4 linked regions of the Drosophila melanogaster genome follow. The protein of the gene in region 1 interacts with the protein of each later gene in a pairwise test. Each region holds a gene or a part of one and is shown in the gene's direction. Other genes may lie near its edges.

Region 1 (3,807 bases):
GATGCTTTTAAATGCTGTTACCTTTACACTACCAATTTTGTTATAGAACTAAAATAATAATCTTTCCAACTGACTTATAATTTGGAACCGTTCTTGGCGGCCAACAGGATATTGAGGACATCGTCGGCACAGCCCCAGCACAAAGTGACTCCACTGCCGCCATGTCCATAGTTGTGGATGAGGAGCTTGCGGCCGCGGCGCTCGGCTTCCAGTCGGAGTTGGGTGCGACCCGGCCGGAGACCTACCCAATCAAAGAGGCACTCCGTGTGCTCCAAACCAGGAATGTACCGCTGACAGCCATCGACGATCATCCGCCTGTCGTTCTGGCAGACTTTAGTGTTGTAGTCCCGCTCCTGATGGGTTCCGCCCAGGACAACACTTTCGGTGCTTAAATATTTCAGATATTGGAATACGAACAAATAAGTGTAACTGGCAAATACTCACTTGGGTATAATATAGTTGCCATCATCACTCTCGTCCAGCACGGCAGAGAAAATCCAGTTGGCCCTCACCCGGGAAACTTGGCCACGCACTGCGTACATTTGATCGTCGTTTAGTAGGGTCTTAGAGCCCAATCCGGAGCAATTGACTATCACATCGTACTCGGAATCGGCTACAAATGCATCCAGGTCTGTAATCCTTTTCCGGACAACAACACCTCCATTTCGGGTGAAACGCTTCATCAAATACGGCAGTAGCTTAATGGGCTCCGAGGTGTAGGTAACAAAGGATAAACCAGACCTAGATATGGTTTAGATATGTTCATATTTCAGCAAGTATAAATCTATGGATATCTATGAATATTCTTACGTGAACTTAACGCTGCGACCTTTATTGTAGGCAGCCAGCTGTTCCTTGGACAGATCCACTGCTCCATAGACAATGTCACGCCAAAAATCTTCGACCGTGTCCACCGTTGAGGTGCTCAGCCGAATGCAGGGTAGCAGACAAACGCCAGCCTCTCCGGCATCCTCGCTCAGCCAGATCTTCTCCAAAAATTGGTGCATGCTCTTCGACCACTTGCTGATGGAAAAAAAGTTATAAGTAAGAATATAATATAGTGACTAGTAAAACTTACTAGACTTTCGCCTGCGAAGTGCCGCCCAGAAGGTACGGACCCCAGAGACCAGCCGAACCATCTCCAGTTGTGTTAGGCGTGAAGTCCTCCGATATGATCGTCACCTTTATGGGTGTCTTTCCATCGTTCACATAGTGTTCCAGTATCTTAATGGCACTGGCAACACCATTAACCCCGGCACCGATAACTGCAATGTTAGGCATTGCTCCAATCCGATCAGCTTGGGAACTTGGAATGAACTGAAAAGAGGATCGCTTATCAGAATTGTAAGCAAATCGCATAATACAATTAGCTGATAACAGAGCTTTTAAAAAGAGCGAAAAAGCTTTTTGCATTTTGAATCTAATATTAACTCTTTCTTAAAATCTAGTAGGCTATAATTCCAACAAGTTGGCCTTGCATTTCATCTCAAACGGAACCGAATATGTGTGTTGGGATGTGTTGATCATTCCTCATTCGATACCAAACTCTCGGACCTTTCGTTTCGGCCAGCTTCTAAATTTTCCAAATTCCAAATTTTTCTTCCAAATTAATTTGACCAAATAGAGTAAGTTTATCCCGGGAAGACCATAGTATATTTTTAAATCCTTTGTCCTGTAGCGCTCGACGGGCTCAAGATGTGTGACGGATGTGGATCGTTGGAGGTGAGTAACCATATGCAACACACCACTGACCACTTGTGACCACTATGTATGCATCCTTTCCAGCCGCGCGGATGCCGCAGTCGGGAGTTACGATGCGGCATCATGTACACCACTTGCGACTGCGTGAAGCGGAACGGTCTGCAGGACAAGTGCCCGCGGTCCGCCTGCCAGGGCCGACCGGCCTGCCTGTGCTTCCCCTTCCCCACCTGCGGTCCGGCGGCATTCCCGCTGCGCTACGCTAACATGATGATGGGCGTGAACAATAAGCGTATGCGCTGTGCCGCCACTGGAGCACCAAATGGCGGTGCCGGATGCGGTGGACGCGTTGCCGGCGGCTGCTGTGGATGCGGTCCCTGCTGCTGTAATGTATCGCCCTGCTGTGGCCCGCACAGTCCTCCATGCTGTGGCTCGCACAGTCTTCCATGCTGTGGCCCGCACAGTCCTCCATGCGGAGCTCCGTCGCCCATTCCTTGCTCCTCTGCTCCGGGCATGTGCTGCCCTCCGCTGCCTGAAGGCGGCATTCCCGATCCGCGTGTCTGGAACTACTATAACGCACCTGTGACGTACCCATGTAAGTCCGGTCCAGGTCCGTCCACCTGTCCGCCTGTCTGTCCGTCTGCTTGTCCATCTGTCACGGCGCTGGGCGTCCGTAGAACGTAAAAACCATGGAGCGGAGGAGCACGAGGCATGCCCAAGGACTTTGCAGGTCACAGCATCTGGAACATGTGCTTGTGGTGACGCTTCATGTCCTTTTGCAGGAGCTTTATGCCCACTACGCTGATCCGTCAACAATGATAGCATGTCCTGGGCTTTGTGAGCGTAGAGGTAGGATCCATGGACCAAATGCTGTTGCCAGGCCCCAAATCCTTCATGACCCTTTGACCTCCATCCGCATCCTGTCGCGTGTAAGTAACTGCGATACCTTCTGCATTCACTGGTTTTACCTTTCTCATCCCACAGGTGGCTTATAAGTATTTCCTGGCAAGTGTTTCGATCGGATCCTGATATGGGCCACTTCCTTGGCGGGACATGTTGTCGTTTTGTGACGTAGTTTTGGTTGATAAAAAATTGAAGTTGGCTTAAATCAAGATTTAGCCAGCTGCGGAATACCCATTACTAGAAGGGCTCGAAGCTATTTGGGAACCCATGTGCAATTCGTCAGACGGTCTTGATTTAAACACAAAATCATATGTTGGTATCTGGAATCTATTTGGCATTAAATTACAAATAAACAAATTGAAATTATATTCTGTGTATTATGGGGGGTGTTAAAGGTTGCGTTTATTTTATGGCTGCACTTATGCTTCGAATATTTATATTTTAAGCCTGGCATTAGAATTGTAAATTAAGGTTGAAACCTTATGCCAAGGCCATAAAAATTTACGTTCATATGTCCCACAGATATTCTGATATTTATATTAATTAATATCAATTTTATTAGGGTGGGTTTCCGTGGCATTTAAGATTTAATTAATTAAAAGTTGAACTTTGCTGATAGTACTTTGTTTTAAACCCATTTTTTCGAGCTGGGAGAGCCATGTTCCAATCTTAGTGAGTTAGTTGACCTAAACAATTCGCGGGTCAAATATTTTGTTTTAGTGAATAAGGCAAATATAGATATATAATTATGTAGATCTGTGGCGATTTCATAATCTTTGCTAAGTCGAAGTAGGCCATGAAATTTCATAAAGTTGGCCATGACTTTTAAGCCAACCCGAACCGAAACTTGAACTGGATGTGCTGGGCCAAGGGAACAGCTAACCTCATTCGATATCTGACTCTCGGACCAGTCGCTTCGACTTCTAAATTTTTTTCTAAATTCCAAATTTACTTTTTCGATAATAACTCAACCAAAAAAGTGAGTGTTAAGTATTTGTTCAAAAAGTATAACATCTTAACTTTTCGCCCGCAGCGTTAGACAAACTCAACATGTGCAACGGATGTGGATGCTGTGGACCCTGTAATGAAACACCCTGCTGTGGCCCCCACAGTCCGCCATGCGGAGCCCCGTCTCCCATCCCGTGCTCTCCTGCTCCGGGCATGTGCTGTCCCCCTCTGCCCGAGGGCGGCATTCCCGATCCCCGT
Region 2 (11,292 bases), on another chromosome or scaffold:
GAAAGGGCAGCAGCAGCAGCAGCAGCAAAAGCATTTGATGCGGGTGAAATAATTCGGGATATTATGTAATAACCATGGGGAATAAGTGGGAGCAAAAGATGTCTGCTGGCGACATGACTCACCCACTCCGCCCTCTATTCAATCCGTATGCATATCACACAATGTGGGTGAACGACCTTGATGCTTTTGGCCAACTATGATGATTACAATAATAAACTAATAAAGCAAAACATACGCATCGATTTTATTACCAGCCATTTCGCAAATAACACTGCGAATCGACAACGAAAACAAAAGCGGCAAACTCATTCGCATGCCAGGCACACAAACCGAATCGAAGCCACAACAAATCGACTCCCAATATGTGAATCATAAGCCATAGGCTCACTGCACTGCACTGGAGTGCATTATTATGCAAGCCCCCAACAAATCCAACCATGCGATGCTGGCCACAAACTTGAATGGGGTTTCCCCAAGGCCCAAAGCGGTTTAAGCCGGCAGCAGGCAATCAAGAATTGAATAGGCCAACAATGCGAGACCAAAAACTTCAGTTCGGTTTTCTTGGGATTTTCCAGCGGCGGATTGGCGAATACTTTTTGGGCAAATCCATGGCACAATTGCAGATGCAGTAAAAAAGCGAAATGCAATTGCAGGCACTGGAAAAATTGTTATGTTCCAAATATATAAGTAAGTCAGAAAAATGATATAGTTAATTAGTAAAGTACTTAATCGTCTATGATTATTTTTAATGTTTGGAAAAAGTGCATATCCGCTGATATGTATCAAAAAACAAAATTCATAATTTATTAAAATATATAAATTAACAAATTAATAATTATAAATTAATGTAAGGAGCTTAAACTAAACCCAATATAATATAAAGATATTTTCTAACTATCTTATTAAATTTCAATCGCCTTACTACAATTTTGTGTGCTGCTTTGATTTTATTTCCCCTCAAAAGTTAAGCTCTAAATCCATAATCGATATACGATGTATGTAGTTGGCTTAAAGAGATTGGCAAATTGTCTTTAGCCAAATGGTGCGTGTGGGTGGAAGACCTCAACTTGTTGAGCAATTGACACAAATCTAAGTCAGGGAGTCGGCACTTCAGCCTTGAGCCAGTGACAATATTTATTTTTTTTTATTGCTTTTGGACTTGAACTGCGACAATTTGGTGTGCGAAGGGGTATAAGAGAGAAAGGTATGGTGAGCGAAAGAGAAGGAGAGAGTGATTCAGTCGGAGGAAGCTAACAAAGTAGAGCAAACACGATTCCCACACAAATCCATTTGGACAAACAATTAACAAGTTGGCCATAATCAACATAGGCTATGTTGTAATAGTGCGGCCCAAGAAATGTGCAAAATGTTGGAGCGCACCATAAATAGATATGAGTATATACCAAATCCGAAATGCAGATCCAATAACAAGCCCCTGAACCTGTAACCCCATCGGATTACAAACTGTCCACCTGGCATTAGTTGTCTCCGGCGAGGTCCAAGTTCAAGTTCAGTTCATCACTCACTGGGATTTACCAATAGCCAAGTTTCAGCTAACTACCAAAATTATTTTTATCAGGAAAATCATTGTAGATAGCAATTAGCCGCATTCGTAGATACACTGTAATAGATGAGATTAAATTAAAACTTATAAAAACGTATAAAATCAACACATTATTTATATTGTTCTGCAAATATCAGGTTGTTTGAATGTTATCTAAATATTTATATTTAAATAAGATATGAAGCTTTTAAGACCTAATGAGTTATTAATCATGTATGCTAGTTTTCAGACCAGAGTATAACAAACGAAAATAGATGTATTAGTTACTGAAACGTACATTTAAATAAGTTTGATATTTACATTCGGAAAACCCTTTATAGATATTATATTAACAATGTATTAAAATCGATTTCCATCTTATTGATGTACCCCCAAAAAAAGGTAAGCCAAACGGAATTAAAAACGATGCAAAATAAGGTTCGTCGCACCTCCTTCGAAAAGCCCAAAGTGCTCGATAGTATGAGTCATAAAAAACCCGATGGTCAAAAACTACGCCACACGCTACGCTGATTGATAAAAACTTCGTGAATTAATCGCGAGCAAATAGCCAAAAGGTGTTTGGCAAACAGCCCAGAGTGGCGACAATAACAACTCCCGAGAAAAATCAATGTGATTAGCATAATTTTCGAAGCTCTGTTGGTCATTATCAACTTTCTTGGAATGCTTAACATAAAACGCCACTTAGGTGGGGGCTAGATGAACGACTGCAGCACATCGAACCAAGGTCAGTAACACAAGTGGAAGCCACTGGAGCCACTGAATCACAATGAGACTCACTCCGGCCGGGCAGCACTGACCATACACAACACAAACGCAAACCTGATAATGATTGGGATTTAAGGTAGTGGCACGCGAACGTGATCATCGTGAATAAGTTTGGGGGGAATGTCTCTAATTTTTATGAACTTCGGGTAATTCCGCCAAGCGCTTTTTACTCACAGTGAGCTAGGTTAAATAAAAAAAACGTTAAAATAAACGAAAATGAAACGAGTGACCGAGCGATGACGTTTGCATTGACCATGGGTTAAAAACCAGGCGATTTGAACTGAACTGCAACCAAAAAGAGAGGCAGATGTATGAAGTAAAAAAAAAATGGGGAAAGATGAATGTATGCCAAAAGATCCGGTTTGAGGCAATGCCCAATTTTACCCTTTTTCACGATGTTTTTATTATTCAGCGGTTGCTACTCTCTGACCCAATTCATAATTGCAGAATTGCATAATCCCGGTTTCTCAAGCAACGCCTTTCCGGGAAGCTAAATTTGGTTATTTAAAATTTGGTAAAATCATAAAAAAAAAAACAAAGCCCCATTTGGATGTTTAAGACAGTCAGTTATGTTTAAGAGATGTGTTGAATGTGATGATAGTTTCTGGGTTTCTTACTGATAATGAAGCTATCATAGTGATATTTCCGCCTATTTCCGCCTCGTTTACTGACCTCCAGTAGTTGGGCAGAATTGGGGATTTGAGGAAAAAACCCAGACGAAAAATCAACACTAACAGCGAAAAAGAGGGGTTGCCAAACATTGTCGCCGTCGCCGCTTTTGTATCTTTTGTTTTGGGCTACCGATTCGCAAACTAAGGCGGTATGAAAGCTAGAAGAAGACGGAATCAATGCAGACAGAGACAGCGAAACGTTGGAGCTTGACGTCGACGGCGCGCATGCACAGCTTTTGTATAAAATGTGCGCGGCCAACGAAAGCGAAATCAGTGAACGATCTGCAGAGCATCGAAGAGCACAATCGGTGCAGAAAGTGAATGAAGTGAAAGGATAAGAGACTCAGTAAATTGCATAAGGATTATCCGGACAACAGTGATAACTAACCAATTGGATTAATAAACTTGACACAAAAAAGGTGAGTGAAGTGAGCGAAATTAGCAAAGTGAACTCAAGTGAACCGAAAGCGAACTAATTTAAATGAATGGCTATTAGATGTGAATTATGAGTCTGCAGCACATGAAATTATGGTTGTTGCAAATATGCCTACATACATACACTTAATAAAAACTCTTGGCCAAGAGCCTCCGCGTCATTAAGCCAATCGAACAAGCGAAACTTTCACTGCGAACACAAAGGAAAAACCTAAAAAAATTTCCCAAACCCAACCAAACGGCAGTTAGCATCGCTTACGAGCACTTCTCGCCAAAGAAAATCCAAGCGAAAAAGTTGCCGGCAATTTGCAATGCAACGCTGCGCACAACTTCCGGCCGAAAAAGCAGGCCTAAAGAAATCCAAAGATACATTTACATAACTGGAAAATATATACTTGAAAAAAATCATAAAAAATAAAATATAACTCGAAATTGTAGTGTGTAATGCCGCTCTAGATGAATCAGATCTGTTTACATAATCATTTAAAATATAAATATATCTTCTTACTTAAGCATATAATTCCGAGTGGCAAAATTATAATTCTGGCTATCCTATTAGTTACTCCTTAAACCAATATTACATTCATAATTGATTTTTTTGTTAAGTGTAGCCGATCTTTTACAAAATCCGCCCTCGCTGTGAGCCGGTGACATAACTGCAATGCAAACGACCATAAAAATAAAGGCTGAAAAGAAAAGTGAATTTTACCAAATAAAAGAGACACGAAGCGGAAAGCGGCTGTCAGGGCGAGAGATCAAGTTGAGCGATGGTCTTCGGTGGGATTGCAGTCGTAGGCTTGCTAAATCTGTAGGAAAATTACCTCATAAATTACGGGGACCTGAAGCCAGCGATCCCCTCGCCATCCCGACTCGCATTTCGAGCAAAAGTAACGTACAAAATCAGGCAATTAAGTGCTACGGTCTGCGACCTCCAATGAAAGTAAAAGTCTTATACGAGAGTCTGAGTCACGGTGAAGATTTCGTGATGCTAACCGGTTTGGGCTTCGGATTCGGTTTTGTTACGGATTGGTTAAGCCAAAGATGGTATGAGGGATCGGTGGCTAGGTGGAGAAATGTAAACTGGCACAATGACTTGGGGTAATGGTGTCAAGCTCGCCACTTATGTCATAACCAATCATGACTAAACCTCTTAATTTATTTTCCACTCAAAAGAAAAGGCGACAAAGATGGTCAATCAATCACTTGATTAATATATCCGTAGATATTAGAGAATTGGTATCCTAAAGTTTTTCTATCTAATCATTTCACAGGCTTCACAATGAGAATAAGAACTAGCCTTTTGGCAGTTGTACTGCTGGCCACCGCCTCCTTGGCCGAGGAATCCAACTGGGGAAATGAGTGGGCGCCCATGGAGGATGCCATGCCCAGTCGCCGATCTGTCGATACCAAGCCCGCCGAACAAGCTGACATTCAGGGACGTTACCTCGTCCACGAGTCCATCCAGAGCAACAGCACCACCCAGATTGACGAGGTCATCGAGCAGCTGATCAACTCCCGCCGTGAGGGTCGTAATCTGGGGGAATACGATGCCGTCTATGCTGATGGCAATATCGATCAGGCTCTGCAGCAGGGAAACGATATGCAGGCCCGCAATCTTATCCGGGATAAGCTGTGTGGATTGGGACTGATGAGCTGCGATGTGGAGGAGAAGCGTCCCTTCTACTCGACCATCTATGCCCAGGGTCCCCCACCACCATCTGGTTTCAGCGGTGGTCCCTATGGTCCGGCTAAGCCCATGCCCCCACCAAGCTACTTCAGTGGTCGTCCACCAATGGGTGGACCTCCTGGATCTTACGGACCTCCGCCAAGCTCCCTGAACTCCTTTGGACCTCCGCCCAGCTCCGTGAACTCCTTTGGACCGCCAAGGAAGGTGGGATACGAGGGACCATACAAGCCAATGTCTGGACCTTACAGGCCATCTGGACCCGGTGGCTACCTGGAGCATCCTCCACCATCCGCCATTGACGGTTCATCCGACGGTATCACCTACACGAAGCCACCACCCGGAGCCCTGATCTATGACAGCAAGCCACCAGGACCCATCTACACCGGAGGTCCTTCTCTGGGAGCTGGACCCGTTTTTACTGGTGCTTCGAATGGAGTTCCTCCATACAACTACGAGAACCCCGAGGGTGGCATCCAGGGTGCAAGCTCTGCTCCCAATGGTTTCTACTCGCAGCAGTCTTCAGCTTCTTCCGCCTCGGCCACATCCTCCAGCACCAAAGTGGTGGTTGGAGCACCGCTCGATGGTCTGCAGCAACATGTGCATCATCATTATCACCATGTTGAAGGTGGCGAGGGAGCAAAGGTTCCCAGTGTGCCAATTCCCATCGGAGCTGGCCAGACCATTAACACCGACTTCAGTGCCCTGGCCCAATCATCTGCCACATACACTCCCTCCATTCAGACTTCTTCCGGATCCAGTTACTCCCAGTCCAATGCCTTCAATGCTGGCTTTAATGGTGCTTCTCAGGGTGGACTTCTTTCGCAGAACGGTTTTGGAATCTCCCAGAAACCCACTGGAGATCTGTACAAACCAAACTCTGGAGATCTCTACAAGCCCAACTCAGGACTAGGAAACTTTGGCAGCAGTTCCTCTGGAGGATTCAGTGGATCGCCCAGCTCCAGTTATCACAGCCAGAATCCCGACTACTACAAGAAGGAGCTGCAAGGTGGAGCATCCAATCAGTACAATGGCATCTCTGGTGGTTACCAGGGTCAGGGTCAGTACCAGAGTGGATATGACACCTCGCGCCAGCAGATCGTCGACTGCCAGTGTGTGCCCATCTCCCAGTGTCCCGCTGCCGATCGCATTGGACGCAAGGAGGATCTCATTCTGCCTATTGATCCCCGCAACCTGGGCAAGGACATTGAGGCTCTGAGTGACGATGCTCTATCCAGCAATGCTACCACTACTGCTGAGGCTAAGAAGGACGAGGAGAAGGCGGACAAGGATGACAAGAAGCGCACCCGCCGCCAGGCTGATCAAAAGGATGACGAAGCAAGCGATCTCTCACTCGATGCTCAAGGGGTAAGTCCATAGAAGTCTATTAGTTTAAGTAGTGCCCAACTAATGCCAAATCACACATGGTTCACATGGACCACTAATCGAGTTTTAGCCAAGCTCCTCCCTCCCACACACACACACATTCAAATCAAACAACAAATCAATCAGTCAATCAACAAATCAAACCAATCTGACAACTGCACCCATCGTTCAACGCTCCAAGCTCAACTAAAATACCAGAGTGCAAATCGGTTCCGATTAGACCAGTCACTAATCCCAGAACTAAACCAGCTAACCAAGCACGACCTTTGTGATCGCACGCCTGCAACCCGAAACATGCAACCTGCAACCGGCAATCAGAAATGGAACTCCACCTCTAGCGTTCTTATGTTTTCCCCTTACCAACAAATAGAGACAGTCCCCGCTCGGAGGATCTCCATTGGCATTGCCCGCTCTCCAGGCCATCGAGCTGATCCAACGCAAAGTGCTGCCCACCTACGGTGTCAGCTTTGGTTTGCCCTATCCCACTGGCGGGTATGGAGGTTATCCCTCGAATATTCTGGGTGATCATGTGCCCGCTCAAAACCCGTACTTCGGTTCGGTGGGTCCAAATGGTCTGAATCTGGGTCTGGTGAATGTGAATCCTCTGGTATCGGTGCAGGTGGCCAAAACAGAATATGGCGAGAAGGTGGTGAAGCCACTGGTCAATCTGCATGTCACTCCCAATGCGAATCTCATTCAGAAAGTGGGAGACTTCTTTAAGCGGAAGCCCACCGAAGCGTATAGTACACATTACCACCATCACGATCATTATAGTGGCTATGAGCACCACGATTACGATCACCATGACCACCACGATCACCATGACCACCACTCGTATCCGCATTTCTATGGAGGAACTGGACCGGGTCTCCATTTCAGTGTGGAAATGGTCCCAAGTACTCCCATATTTGAGTATCACAGTGGGCCTTCTGTTCAGTATCATCACCACCACGAATCGTCTCCCTACGAGAGCTCCTTCAACTCTATATATCCCGGATCCAGTCCCGATTTCGGGGGCTATGGCGAGTACTCACAGCATGTGGAGCGAAGTGCCAATGTGAGCGGTGGTGATACAGACAGGCCATCGAATTCCGGTCGTCGTGGCAAACAGTTGAACCTGGGACCCCTCTACAACATTCCCACTCCGGCTCCTGGTGAGGCAGCTGGCAGTGATCGGATCACTTTCCCACGGGATCGCAGGCGCAGGAGCGTTGAGGATGGTGTGTGGGCGGGAGCAGCTCCTAAGGAGCAGGTAACCATGTGTGGCTAAAGCATTAAAGTTCATTCGAAAGCGTCAATAGAGTACTAAAGTCCATAACTACAAAATTGAAAAATTTCATGAGAAGTTCAGTCCCAAATTATGTAACTATTTTGTAAAACTTTTTAAGAGTCAAAGAACCCCACATTTTATAAATATTCTTAATTGTTTATTGATTAAATCATTGATGGTAATTAGGAAAAGTTATATGGCATTCAAAGTACATTTCAAATCCAGATAAGATTGTACCCATTCCTCCAACATTTATCTAATTGCGATTGCCTTCCTTGATATTTTCCAGCGTGCCTATTATGGAAACCGACCCGTGGAAAAGACCTGCCGCATCAACGAAGTCTGCTGCCGTCGTCCACTGCGTCCCCAGGCTCCTCCCCAGCAATTTGGTCGTTGTGGAGTGAGGAACGCCGCTGGAATCACCGGTCGCATCAAGAATCCCGTCTACGTTGATGGAGACAGTGAGTTCGGCGAGTATCCCTGGCATGTGGCCATTCTGAAGAAGGATCCCAAGGAGTCGATCTACGCCTGCGGTGGCACGCTCATCGATGCCCAGCACATCATTTCCGCTGCCCATTGCATTAAATCGTAAGTTCTAGAGTCATAAAAGTATATTTCACCAGAGCATTAACCAATTGCTTCTTTCTATCCAGTCAAAATGGCTTCGATCTTCGTGTGCGTCTGGGCGAATGGGATGTCAACCACGATGTGGAGTTCTTCCCCTACATTGAACGCGATGTGGTTTCCGTGCACATCCATCCCGAGTACTATGCCGGCACTCTGGACAATGATCTGGCCGTTCTGAAACTGGATCAACCCGTTGACTTCACCAAGAATCCGCACATTAGTCCCGCCTGTCTGCCCGACAAGTATTCCGATTTCACTGGAGCTCGTTGCTGGACAACTGGATGGGGCAAGGATGCCTTCGGCGAGCACGGAAAGTACCAGAACATTCTGAAGGAGGTGGATGTGCCAATCCTATCGCACCAACAGTGCGAGTCCCAGCTGAGGAACACGCGTCTGGGCTATAGCTACAAACTGAATCCCGGATTTGTGTGCGCCGGCGGAGAGGAGGGCAAGGATGCCTGCAAGGGTGATGGCGGTGGCCCATTGGTGTGCGACCGGAATGGAGCCATGCACGTGGTCGGAGTGGTGTCCTGGGGCATTGGATGTGGTCAGGTGAACGTTCCCGGCGTCTACGTTAAGGTCTCCGCCTACCTGCCCTGGATCCAACAGATCACCCAGAGCTATCAATGATTAACGGATCAGCAGACTGACAAGGAGGAGGTGACTGGCTACCATGCGAATATCACCGGATCCGTTCCGGTTGACACCTCCTCCGATGAGTTCGTTTTCCACTTCTGACCGAAGCCATCTTTCAACACTCTCGCATTCCAACTACCGACCGAATCGTTTCGATAGTGGCATTCGTCATCGTATTTATCACTCTTAGTTATTACGGATGTCTCCTTGAATACCTGTTATATTTTGTTATATATATGATTCACTTCCCTTCACTTCACTTGTTGACCCACTCATTAGCTACTCACAGTTGTTGCTCAATTGAAGACGCACTGGCGTCGCGTCACCTTGTCACTTCTTTGATATTAATTGTAACGCGAATCTTGTACACCGAGTTCCGATTTTGTCTTGTAAAATAGTGTTTGTCATAACTTATTTATTTATGTATTTGTAATAAATAATTATGTATTTAAATAAAAAAAAAATAATTTATATAAAAATTGTGTCATTCATAATGGTACTTGGGTGGGGAAACTACTAATGTACAATAAGTTAGTTCGTTATCAAAGGGTTTTAAAATCCGCACATATGGAAACTGGTCTAAAAAATGTTTTCAAAAAGTATGGAGAATCAGCAATTGTAGTATGCATTGGTAAAAATATGCTTATAATATTTTTACCTTGATAAAATGTTTGTTTCTAAACCCTTTAATACCAATACACAGCAACGATTGTGATAATTTCGCCTTAACTATTATTATCAATCTTTTTTTAAGTACTATAAGTACTATAGTATTTATAGATATCTTTTTATTTTGGATTTTGTATATTTACTTATATAAATATTTATATATATATATATATATATATATATATATATTTATATTTATTTATATATAAATATTATAACTATAATGTAATATTATTATATAACAACAACTACCTATAACAGTTGCGCCTCCTACGGTATATTAGCATTATATAATTTTTCAATTAAAAAAATATTCAAATTTTGATTGGAAAATTCCCCCGTTCGTAAATTGCCAAATTTCGTGGGCTAGTTAATCTAAACGAAAGCGTAATCCCTCAAATGGCTTTCCCTGCATCGTTGCACCTTGAATCCCGTCAAAAGAGCCACTTAAGGTTCAATTACAAAGTAGTGCAGCACATAAAATGCAAATTAAATTTAAAACATTAACAAACCCGAGCAGACCGACCACTTTACACTGTCCGTTTGGTTCAAACAAGCGTGCCAACGAACCATTAAAAAAAAAACGCCACCATATTTTGTGGCTCAAAGGCGGTCACTTTAAACTTCCTCGATGGGATGGTATGGATGGAAATGGGTGTAAAGGTGCCATGTGTGTGGACCCAGCTCTCCAAATAGTGGGCAGAGCTATTCAAATAGCTTGGAGATGGAAAATCATAACATGCCCGCGATCAGTTAAATTTAAAAACCGCAACAGACTTTCCGCAACTTGATAAACTTTATGCTCGGCTGGCGGCTCTGAAAGACTTATAAATTGTACACTTCCATTCAATTTGAAGTTCAATGCAGTTCCAGCAGCGCTAGCGAAATGTACGGCCAAGGATTACGTTTTCTTCTCGCCCAGCTTGTTTTGGGTAAGCCGGGGAATACCCTTTTATAACAAAGTGAAAAGTTGTAGTGATCCGTTCTTTAAAAATTAAATTCCAAGAGTTGAAAAGTGAAGATTACTATTCTCATACCCGAATCGAATAGATTCTCTTCGGAAATCTTCAACATCCCTTGAACTTGTCTTATATACATATAGAGATACAAATTATAAAGAAATAGATACAAAGACACCAGGATATTGAAAACTTAAATCCTACTTAGGTCCTAACTTAGGATTCCTATTCGGTTAAAAAACCACGTTAAATCTTATTTTATATCCAAATACCTTTAGTGCTCCTTTTGTCCAATGCCTTGGGTCGCCTGCACAAGAGGAATGGCTATCACTACCGACCGCAGCAACCGCCACCAATCCACCAAGGTGGTTACTTTGAGCCCCATCTGCCGGCAGTAGAGCCTCCCGAGCCAGAGAAGCCACAACATAGCACCAAAAGCTACTACACCACATCGGGAGGTAGCTCCTCAGTTTCCAGCAAGGGATCCGGTGGCTATAGCATTGGCAGCGGCCTGCGTTCCATTGCCCAGGGATCGGCGGATCAGGCTCACAGTGCAGTGACCAACCAGCATGCAGCTGCCAAGCAGGCGGCCTATATAGCCCAGAATACACTGGCCCAAGCGGCTT
Region 3 (6,795 bases), on another chromosome or scaffold:
TTCCGTTGCCTGGCCCACTCAAAACGCGCATCAATTTGAAACTTAATCTGGCCGCACAAATAAGCCGCACCAAAAGTTAAGACCCAAAACAAATGGCTGGGGCTTTGAACTAGGCCCCTGCTCCAAGGCCCTCCGCTGTCGCCGTATTGTATGCAAACAATTTACGGCGCAAATAGGCGGCAAGCGCCACAAGAAGAAGATGAAGTGAAAAGCGAGAAAAATTAGATGGGGATGGAAATGAATGGCGGGGGACTCGCCTCCAGGTGAAGGAACGAGGTGGGATGGGGGGCACGGGCTGTGAATGAAATGACTAGGCGGCGTCCCATGCCTAAAACCAAAACTGAAATGCAAGGGAAGTCTGGAAATGAAAAAGGGAATGAAAATGCAAGCAATAGTTGCTCCAACAAGGACAATTGAAATTCACCACAGGACTATTCCTAGTTGTCTAGGACCACTTCGTCTTCAGGAATGGAATGCGTTGGAAACACACACCACAGTGCTTAGCCGAAAAGAAACGAACCTGAATGCTGAAATATAAATAATCCGTTAGGAGTTGGCCCGCAATGATTCTTCGTTAATCCGCACTTGCTAATTTCAAACACAAGAAAAGGTCGATACATTAAATCCCAGTATTCCCATTGCGATTCAGCTCCAGGATGTTTATTTCTTCGGCAGCAATCCAAATATTGTTTTGAAGAAGCATCAATCCTTGAAGCCGTGAATGCATTGAACTTTTGAGTGGCAATTACTTCGAGCGCGGAGTGGAGCCGCAATTAAGTTAATTAGTATGAAGAAGGTAGTCACAGTCCTTTGTTGTGCTATCTGGAGCCGCTGCCAGCGCAATAAAGTTGATTGCGCCTATAAATATGCAGCACTTGGCTGTGATTATTGCGCGGACTCATGCTTTTCTCTGCTCTCTTCTTTGTGTCTGCCTGTCCTCGCTTGTACTTTTTTTTCTTCTGCCAAATGTATGCACTAATTGTTATTCCTCGCCCGGCTTTGTTCGCCTTATCTTAAGTCGCCTGTGAGACAGACGGAGTTTGGGCTTGGGCTTGGTCCTGATTTGGCCGGAGTCCTTGAGACGCTATCAACTGCTAATAGCTTTGGGATATCTCGCCATTTTTGCTTTTTATGACAATGCTTTGCGGTCATCACACTCTCCCTTTGCACTCAACTTGAGAGGCGTTTATTTCAAAGCGCGTTGATCAGGGATTTCACTTAGATGGGGGGAAAAGAAGATGTTTTTAATGTCTATATTATGACTCTAAACCAAGCTGGGTATACTTGCCAGCAGCCAACCTGTTTCTCGCATAACGTTAACTTATATCCAAGGATGCCGCTTCCCCTCAAGTCAGTCTTCTCTTGACTAATCTGGCTTCTGTTACATCTTCGGTGCACTTGCTGTTCACAATCAGCTTATCTTATCTTACGTTTCCTTCCACTCCATGGTCGCATCCAAGCCAAGCGAATCCAATCCAAACCATTCCATTCATCAGGAGCGCTCTAACTAATAGTGGGCGTGACGTGAGCAAACCTCCATTGCCTGACAGACGAGGAACCCGCCTTGTCTGTCGCTCTTGTTTGGCATTGTTAATCTTTAACCTGAGTCCTAATCCGTGCGTCATGATTGAAAGCAGCTGCAAAATCGCTGTGTGGCTCCTGTGGCTTCCTCCTCAGCTTTTACCTATGGAGCGAAAAAACGAAGTTGTCGGCGAACGAGAGGGGGCTGGAAAATGAGGCGCACTGGGAAAACACAACGCACATGACGTGATGACGACGACATCGTCTAATCTGATTGCCCTGATGTATTCGCCCTGTGCCAATTTGTGTCAATTTCGATGGCGACCGAGAGCAAGAACTTTGCCGCTCTAAGCTGAGCTGCCTTCGACTTTGCCTAGCTGCTAATTAGTTCAGCCAGGCGGGGATGCTGCAAGTGCCGGCGCAGGTGCAGCAGTCGCCCTTGGCACATTAGACGTAATGAGAAGTCGTCGGCAGCAGTGGTAAAACGCCCCTCTAATGGCTCCGCAGGCAAAACACTTGCAAAGGAAGCTCAAAATTGTATTATTATTACTTTCGCGTGAAACTGTGGAAATAGGCGCTGTGCTGCTTGTACTCCCATTTGGGTTTAAGGTGGAGTAATGGGTATCTGATAGTCGGGGAACTCGACTCCAGCGTTCTCTGTTGGAAAATGGGCCTTTTGCTAAGACATTAAGCATACGCAGAGTAACAAAAACATGTAGTCCTTGCTGGACCTGATTTTTCTCACTGCATGCATGTGGGGGATAGGTTAAAGAGAAAATGGAAATTGCGGGAATGGGAATGGTGAATGGTGAATGGGAGAGGGGAAACGCGCAGTGCAGTGCCGTGGGGCAAACTCAATGCCGGCCCAGGCCTCCCATGTGTGTTTGTGGCAAGTTAATGACACACCTTAACCCATGTTAACCTAGTTTTTCATGTTGTGGTTATTCTTGTCGTGCTTGTTCTTCTTTCCACTTGACCCAAAGCCCAAAAAAAAAAAAGGAGAGTGGTGTGGAGAGGATGTCGGTGCGTATGGGCCTGGCCTTCATGCGGTTGACATGAATTTGACTGTGGCATGATTGGCCTACTTTCTGTCTTTTGCTTGCGCTCTAGGCTTTTTCGCATAAATAAGCTATTTGTGACCAATTTGCATTTTCCGCGTTATATTTCTTAACTGACACAATAAAAAGTTCGAAAGGCGAATGACGGCAGAATAGGAAGAGCTATAGCAAAATCCAACATATAAACAAACAATGCCCAAAGGGCAGCATAGATCTAGGGTAAGATCAGCATAAGAAAAAAATGGAAAAATGGACCGAGTGCGTTTAATTAGTCACATTCCGACATCATAATACCTTTAATAAAGCAACCAACTTAATATTAACAAATGGGGACCATAAAGTGTGAAATGTGGAGCGGGAGTCCTCAAAGGACCTGCGGATGGCAAGCAATGGCCTTCATTTATTTTCCTCAGCCGCAGCTGCTGCTTCTTTCTCAGCTTGTTAAGCATAATTAAAATCACAGAGCGGGATGGAGAGAGGCGCAGAGAGCCAGGGAGGAGAGGGACAGAGCTAGTGAGTAAGTGTGATTAAAAGATTGCAAATTTCTCACTCTTATTCATTTTTTTTAAGCTCTTCTTTCTGGCCAAATTGAATTTTTCGTTGCAGCAGACAGCGAGTGAGTGAGTAGGACAGAGCAGAAATGCATTGAACTGATCAGGGTAGTAACAGCACCATGTAGAATCGAAACTTTATTCACGTTAAATCCCCAATTATGTTGGTCTAAATAATGCTTGGTATTAAATAGTAGTATTCCCTGCAGAGGGCTCAAAAGTGTTTTTTTTTTTTGTTTTTGTGGAACGGAAGCCACCTCGCAATTCGACTTTAATGAGTAAACAGGGCGTGCAGACGCTATGCAAATGCTTTAGTCCCATTGAATTTGATGGCCGCGCATAAATGTAATTATAATGTGCATTCTATACAGCAACAAACATAAATGCATAAGTGCATAAATGCGCGCGCGTGTGTGTGTGGACAGTGGATTACGTAATGCCGATGCAGTGAATACGATATAATGTGCTATGCATAATGCATGATCGCACTCCTTAATCAACGCCAAACAAGCGACATTTAATTTTAATTTTAATTAATTTTGTCATTTGCTTTTTACACCGATGACGATGGATTTACCGGAAAACGAGCGAGTCTGTAATCCATCCATTTTCGAATTCTGCTGTGGACGCAGCTGTGCTGTGGATTGTGGGGCGTGGGGCTTGGAGCGCGGATTTGTGAACGCGTGGATGCCTGGGGCTGTAGAAGTAGTAGGGTAGTATAGTAGTAGGTGGGCCTCCGATATCGTCAGTGCTGCGAAATCAGCTGTCGGGCGAGCACCGCATAATCAGAGGTGGGGATGTTTCTGGGCTTCTTGGTGGATCTGCTGTACTGCCGACGCTGCGGGGACGACTGTATGATGGAATTCCCATCGACTTCCGCGAATGAAGAAGCAGCGCCGAAAGTGGTAAAGGTCGAACTGCCGCCGCTGCCGCCACTGACCTTTGAACTCATCCGCAATCCATTGGCTGCCGACCAGGAGTGCGATGATAGCTTCGAAGGCTTCGTCGATGGTTATGATGATCCCAGGCTGCCGGAAACCATCATCTGATTCAAAAAAAGCTTGCCACTCACTGGCATTCCGCACTCCGCTTCATTTGGTTTAATTAAAACTCTTTTTGCCATAATCCAATTAAGACCAAAGGCAAAAACCAAATGACAACAAATGGCATAATGGCCAGACAACAAAACAGACGGCAAAAAATAGAAAAACTCGACAAACTCAAACAAAGCTCCGCACAAAGCAAAAAAAAAAAAACTGAACAAAACAAAATGCAAACAAACAATGCAATAAAATTCAATTACAACAAAATTTTAATTAACTTTTTGCAATCAAAACACAAACCAAATGAGGAGACAACTGGCATCCGAATTGAAAGCCAATAAAAATGGGCGTAATAACCTAACCAATCTACAGGTCATCGATGGACAGGAGAGGGTTAAACGAATCTGACAAAGGCTGTGTACGTTAGCTTCAAATGGGATAGGATTACTTGAGTGTATCATGTTATGTGTGCAAAAGTTTAAAAATGTATATGCACGCACATATGGTAAATGTTTGGATTCGATTGGGAGCACCAAAGAACCAGGCACAGTTTTCCAAACAATAGAAACTACTCGTAGTCGTGTGCCAACTATCGGATACCTTATAGTCTGTATTAAAGTTTGTTATTGACTTATTTACTCTACGAGTACTGATGGAAATGAGTATAAATATGAAAATATTGTTTGTAAACTGTTAAAATGTTTTATTTCGTTTTGTGGGGCGGTAGGTCGCATTACGTATACGACGCGCAGACCACAGAGTAATACGTTTCTAAAGCAAGTTTGCAGTTGCACTGTTTCATTGTTGACCTATCAATTGGGCTCTTCTTCCGGTCGTAGCATACAGTCAGTGTGAACTCGTTTCTTCCAAAGCAATTCCGAGTCGGATAAGACACAGCTACTGCAGCCCATCAAGATCTGCTTCCATGCTCCTTGCAGCATTGTCCACCCACCCTTTAAGACCTCCTATATATTCACATCTGTATCGCAATCGCGAGAAAGACAACTTTTAGTGCGACATTCGCTGGAAACTTTCAGCAGAGCGGCAAACGACACCTAAACCGACTAATGGGCAAAGTCACCTCCTTTGGCAGTAGTGGCTTCGGGGGTTTACTTCACCCATTGTGAGCCATTTGTTTGCTGGAATTGCATTCGTGGCTGCGAAATAACATTTTCCGTTTCCGTTCTTGTTGCGACTGCGTGCCACATTTGTAAAACTTGTGTGTTTAAGTCTGAAGTGTCTGAAGGAAAGTGGACCCCCTCCCCAACCCCCCTTGGCACACCACCAGCAATTAATGCCAAATGTTTTCTGCTTTAGGCCGCCGCTTCATTTCCTTCCAATTAAGTCGCCAATTGGCAGGCCAGAACGCCCCTGATTAAACAGGTGTACGGATGAGGACGGCCAAATCCGGTAAAACCTTCGCAATCTTTCACGCACGCAAGTCGAACCGAACTTTCTGCCTTTTCAGCTTTATGTTTAATCCAATGGTTTGGCCAAGTTTCGTCGCAGCGCCGAACACCAGCCAGCCATCGCATGCAAGTAAATTGTCCATATAGTCAAGTCAGGAAAATGTGTAAAATGTATTTATTGTGTTCGACTTTTAGCGGAATATGCGGGATCACATGTTTAATGTCAATGCCGAAATCCCAAACAATTTCCGCCTAGAACTGGTCGGGAATATTTCGAACTGAACCAGATGACCCGGCGTCTTGGAAAGATCTGCCAAAAATTCGATCGTAGCGCTCCAAGGCTTCGTAGGAGACCCGTGCTGACCGCAATGAGGGACGAAGGTAGCCCGTTGATGGAGATCCAGCTGAAGGAGGAGGAACTGGAAACGAATCGTGTCGCTGTGGCATAGAAAGATCGTTCCACTTGCGGGTCTGCTCCTGTTGGAGCTGCAGATCGGGCGCCTCATCGTCCAGGTCAGCGATATTCCGCCGATGGGTGGTGCTGGTGGAATCCGTGTCGGAATTTCCCTGGGCCCTGATACAGGCAAACAAGTCGCTTAAACTAGAGCACATATTTGTTGCTTCTGGGCGAGTTTGTCGGTGGTTCCACCCTATTTATAATCGTGCAGCTATGCAGCTGTTTTTGGCAAAGGGAATGGCTCAGCCAATTAGTACACTAAGTAGACTTAGTCATTACCAAGCGACCAAGCGAACAAATAAAAACACTTCCTAACAATGTTGGAAATTTTAGACGGTACTTGTACTTCACATTTGATTGGATATGCAGTTAGATTCTCCTTTGAGTAGAGGAGTACGAGTATACTCCTCAAACAGCTTAGCAAAGGTTAACTCAGACTGAAGAGATGTATGAAAGCTTACCATCAAGTCAAGCTGACGTTTCCTGCCACTTCCGCTCCGCCATTCATCATCGGTAGAGGAGGCTTCTTCATATTTCGCACAGCAATTTGACGTCCATCAATCAATGGGCTCCACACCCCCGTCCGCCCCCTTAACTGAGTGGCCACTTGAATGGCATAAAAAGCGGAAATTAATGCACTTAAGACATTCAAAATAGACGGCAGTCGATCTCTTGCGCGCTTCAAGTGGACCCCTTAGCGACGTTTAACCATCTTCCTCTACGCCCTTCCTCCCTTTGGACTCTTGGGTTCCGTAG
Region 4 (8,259 bases), on another chromosome or scaffold:
CTGCTCCCCCGTCTGTATTCATTATCCACAACCTTAGGTATAAGATGCTCCATAGTCTTTAGCAACCATTATATGATAGTTTACCTAGTAAATCGTATGCCAATCATCAGATTGAACTGTACTATGCCCACCCAGCCCATGTGGAAGTTAAAGATTATTGTAGAAAACTATTTAGGTCACCTATAAATGTTGGCAACGCCTAAGAATTAAGCTAACTACTCAGCTAGAGATCGCAGAAACCGAAACAATTGCGATAATTGATAACTAAGTGTTCATGGCAAATTTTGGGGTGTAACTAAACGTTTAATAAACGAAAAGTAAAGCAACTAAAGCTGCAGACAAATCAAAGAACCTTTATGTAGCGGCTAATTTCGACATGTGTTCGGTGTAAACCAAACAAAAACGAATCACAGAACACTAGTTAGTGACTATTTTCATTTCAGTTACGTACTTAAGTATATATATTTGTGCACCCGTGTGAGTTGGCGTTAGTTATGTGTTATGTGCTTATGTATGTTTGCTTTGTTTGGCTCAGTTCGGTTTGGTATGCAGTTGTGGGGCATGTATTGAATTGCAATTTGCGATTTGAAATTGTAGCCATGTAGTTACGCTAACCTACCTTCTCGCCCCCGCTGTTTCACGCCACCCAAATGGTTTTTCATTTCAACAACAACCTTTTGTTAAAGTCACCGCTGTCGCTTTGTTTGTTTGCTATTTGTTTACTTCTATTTCTATTTTTTGTTCATACCAATTTCTTTTTGCAGATATTATTTAAATGTAACAGAATACATAAGCAAAGCGTTGAAATAATATCTATTGTATACCAAAACCAAAAATATCTATGATAACAAACAAGCAAAGGCAATTAAACCGATCCGTAAACTGAATAACCGATTAATAACTGCAGCCGCTCAACCCGAACCGCAATAAATAACTATCAAGTAAAGAATAGAACAACTTAACAATGAAAAATGCAATATTCAATATGCGAAATGACAAATGCCTAATGCCAAATGCCAATCCAAATAACCCAATAACCGATTCAAGTGCGAGAACAGAAATGCCACACCTCTAACCCAGTGCACTTGCTCTGTCTGCTCCGCTGGGCAATCAAACTAATCGCCAATTCATATTATTATTAAGGTAACTAACCCAGATTAGAACAGACACTCGAACACACGCACACACCAGCCACCAACACCACTTGGCACATCCTAGTCATATCATCAACTTCCATCGCTCATCTCCACTTCCATTTCTTTATCCACTGGTCATGTTTCGTTTTCATTTGCTTGAAAAGATCCAGGCGAGATCCTCCTTTATCCACAACACCGTCACCTCATCTCGATTATATATACATATAAATATATATATATATGTTCTGAAATATATATTTCCCAACTCGGAGCCACCTTATTTATCATTGTACTAACCCCAAATCCTTGGAAGGATTTAAACCCACTTGAAATAAAGATATACAGTCGATTAATCTCGTTCTACACATAATTGCAGGCTCCACGGCTCTGGGCTTCTACACGCCCATGAAGGGCACGGCGATGGACAACCTATTCCAGCTGGGTGTCACCCGATACGCCCTGCCCGAGAGCAGCAGCAGTGGGAGCAGCAATGGCAGCCACAGTCCAGGCAGCAACGGGAGCAGTCCAGCCGGAGCTGCGGGCAGCCGGTTGATGTTCAACGGGAATGGCAGCATTATGGGCATCGGCGAGGGACTGATCAAGGAGGGCGACTTGGCGGCAACGGAAGCAGGACCTGGAACTGCAGATGGAGCAGGTGCCTCCAAGAAGGGTTCAGCTGTGGACGAGGATGATTACCATCTGACGGCGACGCCGGGCGCCGAAGTTGTGTACAGCGAGGGTACACAGAAAACGGATTTGCTATATTAGGTCGTCCTGCCAGCCAAAAAACCGGAGCGTCTAGCTCTTTTTCTACCGGTTTCCACCAAACTCCAAACCTTCCGAGCATAACAACCTACCACATCCTGATCGTTCCCCTAATTGAAAAGCGTGCACTTAGGTGAAATATCAACTTCGGTTAGACGCGAAAACAGTAACGAAGGAAAGAAAAATAAAAACAACAAGGCAACGTAAACCAAGTATGGCAAGAAATCCATAAAGATACGTATATAAATAGATATTATTTGTAAGTTTGTAAGCCTAGAGATCCGATGTGTATGTGTACAACAGCAAGCGTGTGTGTCTGTCTTCTTTATAAATATATATATATGGTTTTTTTTTTTTGATAAATTAATAATTATATTATTGTAATGTATCTACATACGGCACTGAATGAACAACTTTGCTGCTGCAATTGTATTTGTATTTGTATTGTGTATTCCATTTACGGCATTTTGATAGTAAATATACAACAACAACAAATCAACGTATTTCCGACTGCATCCCGAAGGTTACTGAAACCTTAATCCACGAAGTACGCGACGAGCGGTTAGTCCCGCCCGAGTATTAACTTAATGGATTCTAACGATCCGATCTTGTGACCCATCATCATCCCTTTTCGCGACCCTTCCAAAACGAAAATGAAGAACATTCTAAGCTCCGCTTGCCCATTCAGCGGAAGAAAGCAAAGGAAAATGTAACATTTGCCTCATAATTATTATATACATTTAGCGCTTATTGAATATTTTTTACAATTGTATTCCGTAAATAAATATAAAATACATCAACATCTAGTCGCGTGTTTTAAGTTAAAGGAAGTTAAGGCCAAAGCAAAATGTTAGCAACAGTTTTTGTTAAAAGTTAACATATATAATAATGGTAATTTAAATATTCAAATCTATGAAGTGACTTATTTTATAAGTCCACTTATGTTTGTTATATTTAATTGGTATTTAGAAAAGGATTCATTTTAAATTAACACCGTTGAGGGTTCAATTTTGGTAGTGCGTCTTTGCTAACCATGCCGAGTGGGATCAAGTCCTTGCTAAGTTAGGATGTTGTCTTAGCTAACTGTGCCATCCCTGGTCGGGGTGTGTCTTAGCTAACAATTACGTGTCGATAGATATAATGCTATCGATATGACAGAGTGTCGGGAACAATCGATAGCATTACTTCGATATCGGTACTAGTGCCACCTCCAGTTTTGTGATTGTGTCAAAAATACAGGGTTTTATTGTTGCACTAGCAATTTAATCCGAGGAATATAAATTTTGTGTGGAGTTATGTTCGAGACGTCGTTGCCAGCGATTCAAGAGGCGAGCGGTCACACGTGTATGTGTTTCACTGGCGGTGCGGGCGCCAACTCCGCCAAAAAGCGTACTACTTTTAACCTTAGTTGACATTGAAATGTACCCGCTTAGTTGGATGTCCACGATGGTGCGTGTGTGTGCGTATATGTGTGCTATGCGGCGTCTGTGTGCGCGAGTGTGTGTGTGGGATTGCAAAGGAGGATGGGAGAAACGAGAGCAGAGCAAAAACAAAAACAAAAGGAACCTGCTGCACATAGTCGGTGCATGCGAGCGTGCTTATGTGTGTGTGCGTGCGTGCTAGCAAAACAACTGCAAGAAATCAGCAACAGTAGTAGAAGAAGAGAAGCTGTATCACTGATAAGGAGGCTAAACAACAACAAAAACAGCAACGATAATGTGCACCCTTTCGAAATGCAAACAAAACAAAGCGTTGTAGTTGTGTAATCATTCGTTGTGAACACACCACACACACACACACACACAACACTTGTTTAATAATACATTTTAATTCTATTATTTTTGATTTAATTTTTGCCTGTTATTCAAATCGATCTGTGTTTTTGCAGTTGGCATTCGTTATTAATTAAATCAGCCGCCAACAGCTGAGCGAGAGAGCAATCGAGAGCGACAGGAGAGGATCCACTTCCAATCGAATCGGGTGGAATCGAATAGCAGGGGCTTGGTAATTAAAAGGAAGACCGAACTGAACTGAACTAAACTGAAACGGAACGAAGCGAAGCGAAGCGCGGCGAGGCGGCAAGAAACGAAAAGAAAAGAACGAAAGTCGGCAGAGTCGGAAAGTCGGCAAGTCTGATTGTCGGCAAAGTCGCAAAGTCGGAGAGTCACAGTCTCAATCGCAGTCGGCGAGAGATTCCACTCGTGTCGCACGTCCGTTCGTTTCCACATTGTCGTTATAAAAATAGCAACGCCTTAAACGATCGCATCAACCTCATCAACAGAACACCACCAGAAATCACCGCCCCCTCCTACGCCTCAATCGCCATCGCCACCGCATCCCATCCCCATCATCTTCATTAGCAGGCAGCCTGACAGAGTAACTAACTGATCTTGATTGCGACCATAATCACCGTCATCATCATGTAATCCTTCACTAACCAATTGATTTCCGCTCGTCCACCAAATAGATTCCAAACTGCCGTTTCGGCAGCCGGCAAGATTTCACGAAATCTAATGGCCAAGGACGAGGAGGATGATCTGCTGCCCGACAAGGATGCGGCCAAGGGCTTCTATGCCAAATACGAGCCCAAGGAGATTCTGGGCAGGTAAGAATCGAACTACACTTGCCGTGATCTCAAACCTCTTATTAAATCCTTTTAAATTCAGTTGAAGTATTATTGATCCTGCACTTAACCATTCAAATACGTTTCTTTCTATTTACTTTGCGTAGTTAATTTTGCAAATTTAAGATCATAGAAACATTGATACTTGTATCCTCAGAAATCACTAGAACGTCCAAATATTGATTGTTTCTGCTTTCCCAACCTCTTACTGCCAAGTCTGCAGTAATGCAGTTTGGGCTAAATGGTGCCAAGTGAGTCAGCCTCATCAAGCTTCCATGGCATGGAGCAATGGCATGGGCTGCTTTTCAAGCGGCGCCTGTCTGCCGGCCTACTCACGCCACAACGAAGATCAGAATTTGCCAAGCAAATAGCAGAGACTAAGCGAAAACAAGGGCTAATTACATATTACAATTCTAGGGATTAGAGATTAGATAAATACCCGATCATGGCAATGTCAAGTGCAGCAGAAGCAGAGCTCTTTATCTACATGCAATGTTTGTCTTACAGGGGCATCAGTTCGACCGTGAGGCGATGTATCGAAAAGGAGACGGGCAAGGAGTTTGCCGCCAAGATCATCGACTTGGGCGCCACCACAGAGTCAGGCGAGACGAATCCATATCACATGCTGGAAGCAACCAGACAAGAAATCTCAATACTGCGCCAGGTCATGGGGCATCCCTACATAAGTTAGTCTCACATAGCACCCACATGTACTTAATTCCACCACTAACCATCTACATTATCGTGCACAGTTGATCTGCAGGATGTGTTCGAGTCAGATGCATTTGTTTTCCTCGTCTTCGAGCTGTGTCCCAAAGGTGAACTCTTCGACTATCTGACCTCTGTGGTGACGCTATCCGAGAAGAAGACGCGCACCATTATGCGACAAATCTTTGAGGGCGTCGAGTACATACACGCGAAGAGCATTGTCCATCGGGATCTTAAGCCCGAGAATATCTTGCTGGACGAGAACCACAACGTTAAGATCACGGATTTTGGCTTCGCCAAGCAGTTGCAAGAGGGCGAGAAACTTACAAGTAATTATAACACAGCATCCTTCTGTATTCGCTAAGCTAAACTATATGTACTTTCCCCCTATTAGATCTGTGCGGAACGCCGGGTTATTTGGCTCCCGAAACGCTCAAGTGCAACATGTTCGAGGGATCCCCCGGCTACTCGCAGGAAGTCGACATGTAAGAGCGAATAAACTAGCCACTTATTATTACACCTTTTTTTGGCTCACTTAAATTATAGAAGCAATTTAAGCACAAAAAGTATCACATTTATTGTAATACGAATTGTCTGCTCAAATTACTAAATTGCTTATGTTAACAGCTAATTTTATTATTAAAAATTTTTGCTTACATAAAAAAAGAAAGGTCTAAACTTTTGTATCGATATTAGACCCGTTTTCCTTTTTTTTTTGTTTTATAGACGCAAATTTTGCTGATACATTTCATTAACTAGTGTTCCTCGTGTCAGGCGATTTGTTTTGATCTTTAGGTGTGCATTTTAATGAATGAGTCAGAAGCAGAAAGGCATAATAATCTGAAATCTGAGTAGTTCCGATACCGACGTCTATATTTCTTCGGTTCAGCAAAACGTAGGGCTTTTTGTATTTTTGAGTTCTTTAACGTTTCCCACTGGTATCTACGTTACTTGGTTTCAGCAGAAATTTTTAATAGGAAAAATTGACACCTTTTACCCATTTCTTTTTCGATTTCTTTTTGTTGTTCGCAGATGGGCCTGTGGCGTGATTATGTTTACGCTGCTCGTCGGTTGTCCACCTTTCTGGCACCGCAAGCAGATGGTCATGCTGCGGAATATCATGGAGGGCAAGTACAGCTTCACCTCGCCGGAGTGGGCTGATATTTCAGGTTGGTCAAATTGATATGCACATGCCAAACGTATGCTTATTTACTTGGTTTCGATTGATTGCAGAGGATCCCAAGGATCTGATACGCAAATGTCTAGTCGTTGATCCTTCGCAACGTATAACCGTCAAGGAAGTATTAAGACATCCATTCTTCAACCAAATGGTAAGTGCCGGAATTGTTGGCAGCCGCCGGGCTCCAATTACCACGACCACCACCACCACCACTACTACAACCGCCTGTACAAGAGGAAAATCAGTCAAATTAGTTCAATTAGTCGCCAAGAATGAGGTCCGCCTACGAGTCGTCTTTTGTGCTCGGGCAGCAGTCTATAGTTTTCGGGTTCCTGTTCTTGTACATAGATACTAGATCTCTAGTTGATGGGTTTAACCTCGGGTGGGTTAATCTTCTACACAACCAATCCACCAAAACAACCAAACACCTGGCCCTGCAAATGTTTCTAAACACAACGTACATCTAAGAACACACACTCTGATGGAAAGAACACCCACCTGTGACTCACAAACCAACCACTCACAACAGCCTATTAACAGCTTCTTCTTACTGTTACCTCCTAAAAATACGATTATGATTTATAATTCGGTTAGGGTAGCAGCCTAACCCCCCGTAGTTTAGTTCAATTGTCAGATTTATAGCCTGACAGGATCAGTCATTAGTTTGGATCCCCCGCCCCCCTTAAAAAGAAAAAGAAAGGAAAACCCTTCGGAACCTCTTGCGTTTTGTTAACTTTTTATTTCTATGATTACTATTTATTATACCAAACATTTTCTTTCTTCTTTTCCTTACATATAAACTATATATCAAATCGAATCCAATTAATTTTAAACGAACCCAAACGAACGATAACGAACACACACTACCATCGATAGCTGTTCGAGCAAAACATTGATGGCCTCAAGCGCAGCCTGTCGACCAAGTCCCGACGAATGAGTCGCATCACTGAGATCGCACTGGTAACGAACCGTTCCCGGACTAACCCAAGCTCTCTCTATCTCTTAATCTCTCTGTGCTGTGTGTCTCCGTGTTCATATATTGATATCGGAGCCGTAATCGTAATCGCTCTAATAACGATTATCCCGATAATCCTGATAATCCCGATAATAAAATCAAGCAATCGGGCCGGCAGACCCAACTCATGACCATATGCAACCCTGCCGGCCCAGCATTCGTGTGTCTGTTTTCCGTTGCATTCTGTTCTGTTTCGTTCTGTGCCGATCTAATATAACCCAGCTAAACTGTACATCATAGTGCATATCAATTGTATACTATACATACTTATTTATTTAAAATCCGTTCAGGTCATCTGTGCCAAGCATAATAACTTTTAACCGGCCGGCAATAGCCAGCGAAAAACGAAACAAAAACGAATACGTACCCGATCTGCTTCGTTTTTGTTTGCATCTGATTTGATTTGCTTGTCGACTGATCGATGCACCACAATGATAACAAAAAAAGAATATATATATATACATATATATAACCCTTCTCTATAATCCCATTCCTTGTTGTACTCGATGTTTTTTTGTCGATTTTGTGTGTTTTTTGTACAAATCAACCGATTGCCTCGATAACTAAAAACGATAACACACGTCTGCAGCTCTGCGCTCGCCATTTGAATCATAATCTGTTAAGTTAATAACTGTGTCTGCATGCCAACCAACCAAAAAAAAAGCAAAACAAAAATCCAGCAGGGTTTCCCTTATCCCAACCTCCAAAGAAAACCCCACAATTCCTATTTTGAGTCACTGCATGCAAGCGTGCATTAACCATTCAGTCAGCGAGAAGAAGATTTGAAGATTTGGCGATAGTAGATAGTAGAATTCACAGAATAGATACAATA

What was found.
Region 2: the proteins of CG17377 (region 1) and CG4998 interact in a two-hybrid assay, tested with the Drosophila melanogaster proteins (one large-scale study listed by BioGRID).
Region 3: the proteins of CG17377 (region 1) and CG3713 interact in a two-hybrid assay, tested with the Drosophila melanogaster proteins (one large-scale study listed by BioGRID).
Region 4: the proteins of CG17377 (region 1) and PhKgamma interact in a two-hybrid assay, tested with the Drosophila melanogaster proteins (one large-scale study listed by BioGRID).

Annotation. Positions count from the first base shown.
Region 1 is NT_033779.5:6,800,526-6,804,332, reverse strand, and holds CG17377 (uncharacterized protein), read left to right. Parts: upstream 1-1,543; 5' UTR 1,544-1,625; intron 1,626-1,678; 5' UTR 1,679-1,695; coding exon 1,696-1,722; intron 1,723-1,785; coding exon 1,786-2,382; 3' UTR 2,383-2,480; coding exon of another isoform or gene 2,481-2,482; 3' UTR 2,483-2,625; exon of another isoform or gene 2,626-2,627; intron 2,628-2,682; coding exon of another isoform or gene 2,683-2,693; 3' UTR 2,694-2,955; downstream 2,956-3,807. Other genes in the region: Daao2 (D-amino acid oxidase 2), read right to left, coding at 75-387, 445-741, 811-1,023, 1,079-1,281; CG17376 (uncharacterized protein), read left to right, coding at 3,652-3,807.
Region 2 is NT_037436.4:16,335,730-16,347,021, forward strand, and holds CG4998 (uncharacterized protein), read left to right. Parts: upstream 1-3,273; 5' UTR 3,274-3,419; intron 3,420-4,706; 5' UTR 4,707-4,714; coding exon 4,715-6,487; intron 6,488-6,875; coding exon 6,876-7,757; intron 7,758-8,064; coding exon 8,065-8,363; intron 8,364-8,428; coding exon 8,429-9,032; 3' UTR 9,033-9,512; downstream 9,513-11,292. Other genes in the region: CG33257 (uncharacterized protein), read left to right, coding at 10,594-10,639, 10,945-11,292.
Region 3 is NC_004354.4:844,236-851,030, reverse strand, and holds CG3713 (uncharacterized protein), read left to right. Parts: upstream 1-3,873; 5' UTR 3,874-3,927; coding exon 3,928-4,179; 3' UTR 4,180-4,860; downstream 4,861-6,795. Other genes in the region: CG14635 (uncharacterized protein), read right to left, coding at 5,835-6,194.
Region 4 is NC_004354.4:11,692,035-11,700,293, forward strand, and holds the start of PhKgamma (phosphorylase kinase gamma), read left to right. Parts: upstream 1-3,102; 5' UTR 3,103-3,245; exon of another isoform or gene 3,246-3,350; intron 3,351-3,789; 5' UTR 3,790-4,277; intron 4,278-4,368; 5' UTR 4,369-4,414; coding exon 4,415-4,506; intron 4,507-5,031; coding exon 5,032-5,210; intron 5,211-5,276; coding exon 5,277-5,561; intron 5,562-5,626; coding exon 5,627-5,717; intron 5,718-6,264; coding exon 6,265-6,401; intron 6,402-6,465; coding exon 6,466-6,563; intron 6,564-7,288; coding exon of another isoform or gene 7,289-7,372; intron 7,373-8,259.